Linked DNA regions of Tribolium castaneum. The protein of the gene in region 3 purifies or fractionates together with the protein of the main gene of each other region. This does not show direct contact. Links are inferred from orthologs where the notes say so. Each region holds a gene or a part of one and is shown on either strand. Other genes may lie near its edges. The genes, in order: hpo, Tap42 and mts.

Evidence for each region.
Region 1: the proteins of mts (region 3) and hpo purify together in Drosophila melanogaster (affinity purification with western blotting; 3 studies listed by BioGRID, with this or other methods). This does not show direct contact. The link is inferred for Tribolium castaneum from reciprocal best matches to the Drosophila melanogaster genes mts and hpo.
Region 2: the proteins of mts (region 3) and Tap42 purify together in Drosophila melanogaster (affinity purification with western blotting; 3 studies listed by BioGRID, with this or other methods). This does not show direct contact. The link is inferred for Tribolium castaneum from reciprocal best matches to the Drosophila melanogaster genes mts and Tap42.

Annotation. Positions count from the first base shown.
Region 1 is NC_087403.1:7,367,097-7,370,154, reverse strand, and holds the end of hpo (serine/threonine-protein kinase 3), read left to right. Parts: intron 1-1,474; exon of another isoform or gene 1,475-1,511; coding exon of another isoform or gene 1,512-1,525; coding exon 1,526-1,605; intron 1,606-1,658; coding exon 1,659-1,835; intron 1,836-1,890; coding exon 1,891-2,049; 3' UTR 2,050-2,470; downstream 2,471-3,058. UniProt on the Drosophila melanogaster protein: Plays a key role in the Hippo/SWH (Sav/Wts/Hpo) signaling pathway, a signaling pathway that plays a pivotal role in organ size control and tumor suppression by restricting proliferation and promoting apoptosis.
Region 2 is NC_087398.1:9,399,567-9,403,068, forward strand, and holds Tap42 (immunoglobulin-binding protein 1), read left to right. Parts: upstream 1-1,537; 5' UTR 1,538-1,723; coding exon 1,724-1,840; intron 1,841-1,890; coding exon 1,891-2,802; 3' UTR 2,803-2,881; downstream 2,882-3,502. Other genes in the region: uncharacterized protein LOC659719, read left to right, coding at 221-440, 493-661, 712-1,097; probable RNA methyltransferase CG11342, read right to left, coding at 2,913-3,446, 3,497-3,502.
Region 3 is NC_087399.1:659,285-661,694, forward strand, and holds the end of mts (serine/threonine-protein phosphatase 2A catalytic subunit beta isoform), read left to right. Parts: intron 1-792; coding exon 793-1,085; intron 1,086-1,138; coding exon 1,139-1,211; 3' UTR 1,212-1,747; downstream 1,748-2,410. Other genes in the region: hgo (homogentisate 1,2-dioxygenase), read left to right, coding at 1,876-1,953, 1,999-2,265, 2,312-2,410.

The DNA.
Region 1 (3,058 bases), on a different chromosome or scaffold from region 3:
CTTAGAAATTGCTACTTCTTCTACTTCTACTTCTACTCTACTTCTACTTCTTCTACTTCGTAAATAAACGGATCGAAATAACCAAATAACAGAGTCTGACTGTAAAAAGTGTCTCTTTTTTTATCAACTGGCAATTGTAACATTAAACCAATGTAAGAGTTTTTCTGTAATTTTTAAACATGAAACGTATTTGTTAGCTATTTGCGTATTATATATCACCCATCACTAAACAAAACTAAACTTAGTTTAACTAACTTAAGAGCTTAACTTACTTAACTTAAGAGCTTTTAAAACTTACAGTCACCGCCGAATTTTGTATGACTTTGACACAGATGCTGCAAAAATGAAATAGATTTTGCCTGTACCGATAAATAAAACTGTTACTTTAATTTAATAATTGTATTAATTAACGCCCATTGAAGAATATCAGTTATTCGTGATTAACAATGACAATTGTTGACAATGACAATAACAATTAACATAATCAGCTTGCATTAATTATATAAATTAGTTAAGGTATTAAAAAAAACTGTATAAATTCGTAATAGTGTTTTAAAAATATAGTTATTAGCAATTAGCAAAGTTTTCACTGCAAAACTTGCTAAATAATAAGACTTCCACCTTGTTATCTCTCAAGATAAGCAGAAGAAAATCTAATTGAGTTATTTGATGAAAAATTAATAAATCTATCGATATAAAGTGCAAAACCTTGAAATATTTTTTGTGAATTGCCTGACTGCAATTTGCATTAAATCACTGTGACTAAATTTTTTAACCAGGTGATATCAAAGGAAATGTGGAAAATAACATTTTTAATTTAATGAGTTTCTACAAAATGTACAAGTTTCTCTGTTATTATAAAAACATTTGTGAGTCCAACTATTCTCTAAAAATGTCTTGAAAAATGTGGAAGTACTGAGAGGAAATAAAACCGAAACTTCAATAAAAACTCTTGAATGCACAAATGTTTGTGCTCAAATCGTCTTAAAAGTATTGAAATGAAAAAATTACGTCCACAGTTTGTGCAATAAATAAAGTGGAATCACGTACTTCTTTTTTATTATTCTACGCTTGAGACAAGGATAAATTAGAAACTGAATGAATTATAAAAGAATATCGATAACAGTATTGTAGAAAATAGTTGTAGAAAAACTAATACAAAATGAGTTATCATTATCAGTTATAATTTATAGAATTCCAAAAAAGCTCAGAATAAAGGTTACTTGGACAAGAAATAGTAGATTATGTATTTTTAATTTTATTTGTAAATGCAATCACACAGTAACATTGAATACAAAATTAAGCACAAACACGATATCACCAGTTAATTTAAATAATTTCAAAAATTATAATCATTTTGCGGTTAGGTCTTAAACTGACTCGTTGTATCTTTTATCTCAAACGGCTGAATGTATAAAAAAAACATTCGCAACGTGTTTAAAAATAGTCGTGTATGAGTGTTTTTCGTCGTGATTGAAATCGTGCATGTTTCTGTAATGTTGGTTGCATAGCAAAACCATTTCAGGGCATGACACGGGTTCGAGTCAAGGCGGCAAGAAATACCGGCCGTTGTTTTTGGAGCACTTTGACAAAAAGGAGGCGGAAGTAAGTAACAATTAATTAGTTATCAATTGATAAATTGTTTATTGCAAATTTAGGGTAACGGCGTCGTGACGCCTACGACGCTTGATGGTCCCGAAATCGTGCCTGACGAGCAACGTTTCCAAAGTCATTTTCATGTACAGTTAAACCAAGTGCCGTCGCCTCAACAGGCCCAACCTCAAGAACAAAAAGCACAATTTCATCGGCCTTTCTCAGATGGTGATTTTGAATTTGTGGGTATTTCATATGTGTGGTGAATTAATTGGGTTTGAGTGGTTGTTTTTTCAGTTGAAGTTTTTGAGTTTCGAGGAGTTGCAACAGAGGATGGCCAAATTAGATTTAGATATGGAGAGAGAAATAGACGAACTTCGTAGGAGGTATCAGATTAAAAGACAGCCGATTTTAGATGCAATGGATACGAAGCGGAAGCGACAACAGAATTTCTGAACTGTTGGCTCGTTGCAATGGAATATGGTGCTCAAAAAGTTAGGTTTTTTAATACTTGCCATTTAGTTTATCTTTGTTGCTTTTTGAGCCGAATATCGTGGTGAGGAAACAAGATGTGTTCCTACTTATTGTACTTAATCAGTTACGTACAGTTTTTAATATGTTATTCTCAATTTTATTTCACTAGATTAAAATGTTTTGCCATACCGGATGCACCAGTTAAACATTTTAGTTAATCATTAATTTTAATAAAATTGCCTTCACGACAAGTTTGAGCTTTTATCAGTGTTATTTTTGTACAGTCATTTTAACTCTAGGTTATAACCTGTACGATAAGTACGCTTGCTGTGCCTTTAGTAGTACCTAGGATTAAGTACGAGTGTAACCATATTTTTTGATCAAATAAAATTCATAACTAATATTTCCAATATATATTTACAATTATAAACTAATACAATAATTTCACAATAAAACAGTAGGCCAATCAAGCGGCATCTCCTTTCTCCTTACTGAAAGCTTGATTGAAATTAAGATTCGCTCCCTCATCGGCTAACATTTCGCTTGGTTGGCCCACAAATGAAAAATCAGTGTTAGTAGCCACAAGACTGATTGCGTTGAGTATTGCTTCGTGAAGTGAATTTTGCAGCTAATAACACCTGTAAACGGTCCAAAATTTCTGATTCTTAATCACAGCTGTACCAATTGGTGGTGATACAATAAGCACTTAAACACTAGAGTAAATGTGAAAGGCACTGTTACAATATGTTAGTGTAAAATATATTTTAGAAATTGTAAAACTAAGACTACAAGTAACCGTTGTCAATAAAATATATACATATACGTTACCAATTAAAGGCACAAAATGGAGGGATTAGTTCAGTGTGAGCATATTTATACGAGTTGAATCCTTCGCGATGCAACAAGTCTGGTCCTGGGAGGAGCAGGGGTGCATTGCACATACAGTAACAAGTAAAATTAAATAGGGATACAGTTAAGTATTCCTACCAAT
Region 2 (3,502 bases), on a different chromosome or scaffold from region 3:
AACGTAGAACGTTAAAAAATTAAAGATTGCCATCAGTCAGCATAAAAATATTGCTAAAAATTCAGAGTTGCCACCTATGTCGCAATACATTAATTATAGCGAAATATACACTTCAAATTGAAACTTATTTAGTATCTAAAAATTGTGTTGCCCAATTATTAATGGTTAGAGCTGTTATGCAAACTTTTTTATCTATTTTTCAATTGTTTATTGTTTTTAGGCCTTGCATTCTAATATTCGATTCTTTGGCGGGGGCAAGTCGCAGTAGAGTTGTAGCCACACTTCGGGACTACTTAACATGTGAATACAAAGCAAAGCTCAACGAGGAAAAAATATTTACGAAGGATATCATCAAAGGTGCTTGTCCGAAAGTTCCTCAACAAACTAATTTTACGGACTGTGGATTGTATTTGTTACAATATGTCGAACAATTCTTTAATGTAAGTTGTAACCGAAACTATTTTAAAGAGCGTAAGTAACAAATCGTTTTAGGACCCAATTAAAGATTATCACATACCTATTTTACACTTGAAAACTTGGTTTGAAGAAATTACTGTAACCAAAAAAAGAGAAGATATTTCACTTTTAATCCAGTCGCTAATGAAGGAAGCTGGAAAAGATTTGGACATACTACCAGATGTTATATTCCCAACTCAAAACGGTATGATTTATTTTTGTTTTTTCGTTTAAATTGTTAAAATGTTTTTTTAGGTGAACTAACAGAGCGAGCGCTTATGGAGAAAGAGGATAAATTCATGGACGACGAAATGATGGAAGACGAAGATGAGGATTACGTTCCACCAATGGGCAAGATAACAAGTGACCAATCAGATGAAACTGGGGAATCAAATTCAGAATCACAAGGCAATTTCGCCCTAAAACCATCAAATGAAGGTGTTGTTAATTCGGAGTTTACCGAACAAGCTGTGACTAGCGCGTCATTGTTGAAACCAGATATTAGTGACTTACCGAAACAGAGCAGTAAAGACACTCTTTCTTATCTTAAAGCGAAACGAATTATCAGACACAAGAATAACATGAACAGTGATGGTGCACCCGATTCGAAAAAAGCTAAAAGTGAAACAAGTGACACTTAAAACGTGACTATTTTTAACTCACTATTTTATGATGCAAAATTTGTGAATGTTGTTAATAAATTTCTTTAGGCGCTTTTTTATTTAAATCGTATTTAAGTTTGTAAATTTTGTAGGCCACACAATTATGTTTGTTTAGTTGTATTAATGTATCGAGAAGATTACTTTTGGAATCAATAAATGAATATAAACATCCGGTTTTTCATTTCACCGAGGTCGTTGAACTAACAGTGTTGTCACCAGAGTAAAAACAAAATTATAAGTGTCGCCAACTAAAGAAAAATTAATGACACAATGTTGCCAATATAACAAATCTAAAAATCCAGTGTTGACAATGCACTAAAATGAAAAGTGTCAATGTTGCCAATAAAATAACTTCATGTTTCATGGTCGCCAACATAGAAAAACTAAAAAATAATTTGAGGCAAAACGCAGTTCAAATGACCACATTTTATCGCAAAATTGGTAAAATGTGCTTTATTTAGAATAAAACAATAGAAGTAATTCAATTTATCTTTATATTTCGTTGGTTGCACTGCGTTTTGACACTTCTTCGTGACAGGTGTTTTGTGTACAATATTTGTTATTTATAGAATGATAGCTCACAATCTAAATTAGAAAAAGTGAATATGGCAAATTCTAATGAACCTGACGAAACGAACCTTCCCACTTTATTTAACCAAGGTTTGGATTTATACAACTCAATCTGCAACAGCAATGAACCTACAAACAGCCCCCCAGTCCAGGTAATTGCGTTCGCTGATTTTGTGTTAAATCTTAAAGTCCCTGATTTTAGAGCAACGTAAAAAAGGCAATGAGTCTTTTCGAGCAAGCCACTCGTTTGGTGTCATTTGCCGGAATTTTTAGCACCAATGAAGGGATTGAAGAAGTGGCAACAAACGACCTACAGTATTTCCTCCTTCCAGCACTGCTAGGTTCCCTAAGTTTAAAATTAACCAGTGGTGAACGTAAAGAAATCATAAACGTTGCCGAAATTTACTTTAAGGATTTTTTGAGCAGATGCAACGATTACGGTTTAAGTAACTACGACTTTACCGAAAAGAAGGAACAAAAGAAGCCACAGACTGAACTGGAGGAAATCACAGTATCGGTAAACACGAGGGCAAACAAAATACAAAGGTACAAAGAACAAAAGGAGTTGAAGTCGAAACTCGCCGATTTAAAAACGAACATGGAAAATGAGCATGCTGATGAAGAAATCAAAAGGGACTACTTCCTAACTATGCTCAAGTCCTTCATCCATGAAGCCGTAGACGAACTGAACAGCATAGAAATGGAAAAACCAATACTGGAATACATGGCTAATGTGAAAAAGGATGAGAAGAAACCGGAGCCAAAAAGACCAGTAACCCCACTCAAGCCCATAATTATCACAAAAGATGAGGTCCAGAAGGCGGTTTTTGGCGCCGGATATCCTTCCTTGCCGACGATGACGGTTCAAGAATTTTATGATAAGAGGGTCAAAGACGGGATTTTTCCTGACCCTACTAAACCACCAACTGGTCCCATGAGCCTGCAGCAAGCTGCTTTGGCAGGGGTGGAGTTAAACTGCGAAGAGAAGGAAGCAGAAGAAAAGGAAAAAATCGTCGAGAGTGACGATCCAGAGTACATTGAGAGAATGCGGAGGATGGATGAGTTTAAGGACGAACACAGGAGGGGGTGGGGAAATAGGGCGAATAGGAGTTAGGCACGGAGTTAGTTATTTGTATTTTTAGAATAAATGTCTAAACTTTGGTTGTGACCTTTCAAATAAACAATTTTGCGTCGTTTTGTCATTTATTGTATAAAAATAAGACTTCAATTAACTGGAGGGCACTTGAAAATTTGCAATTTCCTGCCCCACTCGCTACGTTCGCTCTCGTACAGTTTCACTGCTTTACAACTAGTTAAAATGTGTTGTTCAATCTTATTTTCAACATCGTGCGTTATCTGCAATTCCTTAAAGAGAGGAAACGTTGCATCACTAAGTTTCAAACGTTTGACGGCACTTCTATAACATTTCCACGGTTGCGGTTCTATTATAACAAAGTCCCCTAAATCACAAATTTCGTTCAAAAAACGTATCAGGCCGTCATCACCATAATTTAGGTGAATCCACATTGTTATAGAGAAGCAAAAAACAGCGTCGAATTTCGCTAATTTCCGTTTTTTTAAATAATCTTTAATTAGGCTTTTATCACTCATAAAGTCTAAACAACGGAACTGTATGTTCTCTTTGTTTTGGTTTTTTTCGTTAGCTCTTTCCACTAAGGTTGGGTCAATATCAACGCCCAAAATTTCGCAATTTTGTACTTTTCCCTTAAGAAAATTGTAGAGTTCGATAGTGAGGTCCTAAAATTAATTAGTGAAGTTCCATTTTAAAATCTAATTTTTAAAACTACCCCTGC
Region 3 (2,410 bases):
TTAATTATAATGAATTCATCACATTGCGACCTTGACCCGATTCTGGTTTATCTTGGAGTTGCTCTGGATAATTCACATTCTTGCGGAAAATTTATTACGGGAACAATAATTTCGCCAAGGAAAGTTTGCCGGTCGGTATTTTTAGATATTTATGAGTATTAAATCAGTCCGGTCTACTAAGCTGGTAATACCTGTTTGGTAAATCTTCAAACTCATGTTAATTAAAATTTTAAATTCATCCAAGAGTGATTTATTACGATTGCGGTGCAACTTTTTCTTTTTTTCGGTGAAACGCGTGAAAATCTTCGTTCCGTTTTTAATATAGCAGACGGAAGCATTCTTCCTGTTTCCTATTAGAAAAATGATAGAACGCTGGGGAAAATCGAATCAATACAAGCGAATTGGCCAAAAAACAAGCTCCCGTTTTGTTTATTTTGGCGAGTAATCGAGTTGTCGACGAAGGAAATACATTTTCAGGATAGAAAAACGGAACAGTGTGTGGGGAAACTGTTAAAATATTTGATAAACAAAATAAACACATGTTACTTGTTTTCAAAGTGGGTCAGGTGACTACTGTTTTATTAAAGTGGCTGCTTATCTAATTACTTAATAATGAATTTTACGCAAATAACAAAAAAATAAGCAAAATATTCCGTTCTTATTCATGTTTTTTTTTATTTTCTCATACAAAAAAACATACAATACAATTAAAAACTATTAATTTCAAATTGATTCAACTTTGCCATCGAATTTTTTTTGTGGAATTGATCGTGAGTGTGTATAATATTTTAGGTTCCTCATGAGGGGCCAATGTGCGACCTTTTGTGGTCGGACCCCGACGATCGCGGGGGCTGGGGTATTTCCCCCCGAGGGGCTGGTTACACCTTCGGTCAGGACATTTCCGAGACTTTCAATCATTCGAACGGTTTGACATTAGTTTCGCGTGCCCATCAGCTAGTTATGGAAGGTTACAATTGGTGTCACGACCGCAACGTCGTCACCATCTTTAGCGCCCCCAATTACTGTTACCGTTGCGGTAACCAAGCGGCTATCATGGAACTAGATGATGCCCTCAAATATTCATTGTAAGATGATGGTAGTTTTCGTGGTGATTTGGTTTTAATTGAATTGGTTACAGCTTACAATTTGACCCAGCACCTCGTCGTGGGGAACCCCACGTGACGCGCAGGACACCCGATTACTTCTTGTAATTCTTATATTTGTCAATCGCAATATCATAAACTTGCTTAGATATATTGTATTTGTTAACAAAAAAATGTAGCGTACAAATGACGCAGTCTGAAAGAGAACAAGTTCTTTTCTGCGCCCAGTTCCCATACTAATAATTTAACTGAAAGGGGGGCGAAACGAGCTTTTTTCTGTATACTGTTTTGTTAAATTATTATCAAATTCGAGGAGTACTGAGGTTTGGTAGGTTTGCCCTATTCGCGACCAAAATTATTATACATAAACTACAAGGTAGGTATGCATGTCCTAGTTATATACTCAGTGTTTTTAATTAAAAAAGTGCAGTTTCTTTCTTTATATTTGTGTAAAAACGTTCAGTCCGTTTTTTCTATACATTGTGTGATATTGTGTACAGGGTGTTTGCCCCCTGTGTATGAAATTACCTGAATTCAACAAACAAAACTGCGTTCGGCTATGGCTATAATCTCGTTCATTTAATAACATTAATTGTGTTTAAGACTGTACATTTGGTTTTCTGTGAAGTAAAAATTATTTCTAACCGGCTCTTTCATTGTCACCCCATCTCGTAACCTTTTCTCACCTAATTAATATTAATATTCCTCTCGAAAACTGCTCAATCATTATGTTTGTTGGGATATTTTATAAACAAGTTAAATCATTTACATAATGATATTTTATGCTGATACGAGCGAAAGAAGAATTCAGTTTTTATCCAGCTGTTATCACACCATGTCCACACTCAAGGTAAGCCACAGCCACATCTTGTAACCACTTGTAATCCCAGTGTAGTATTTGAGCGGTTTCGGGTCCGAATTTTCCTCGGAAGACCCCAGATGCCCCAACTCACTCCCGAAAGGGCAAAACAGCCCACAAAAGTGCCCATATGGGTTGTACGCCGAGCAATTGTCCGGGAGCGCCTTTACGGCACCCAGATGCGAAAACAGGAGGAGTTGGTTGTATAGAATCCGACCATCGGTGGGACACAAGCCCTTTTCGCCCTTTCCAGGGGTCAATGTTACGCACAACTGGACGGAAACAGAGCCCGACCCTAATCAGGTAAAAACCGCCACAAAAATTAAATTTATTAATTGGCGACCACCAGATGCGATGGAATCCCTTCGACTTGCCCAAACCCGGCGAAAACGTTGATTTTGTCTCCGGTTTGAACACCGTCGCAGGGGCCGGGGACCCCAAAACCAAA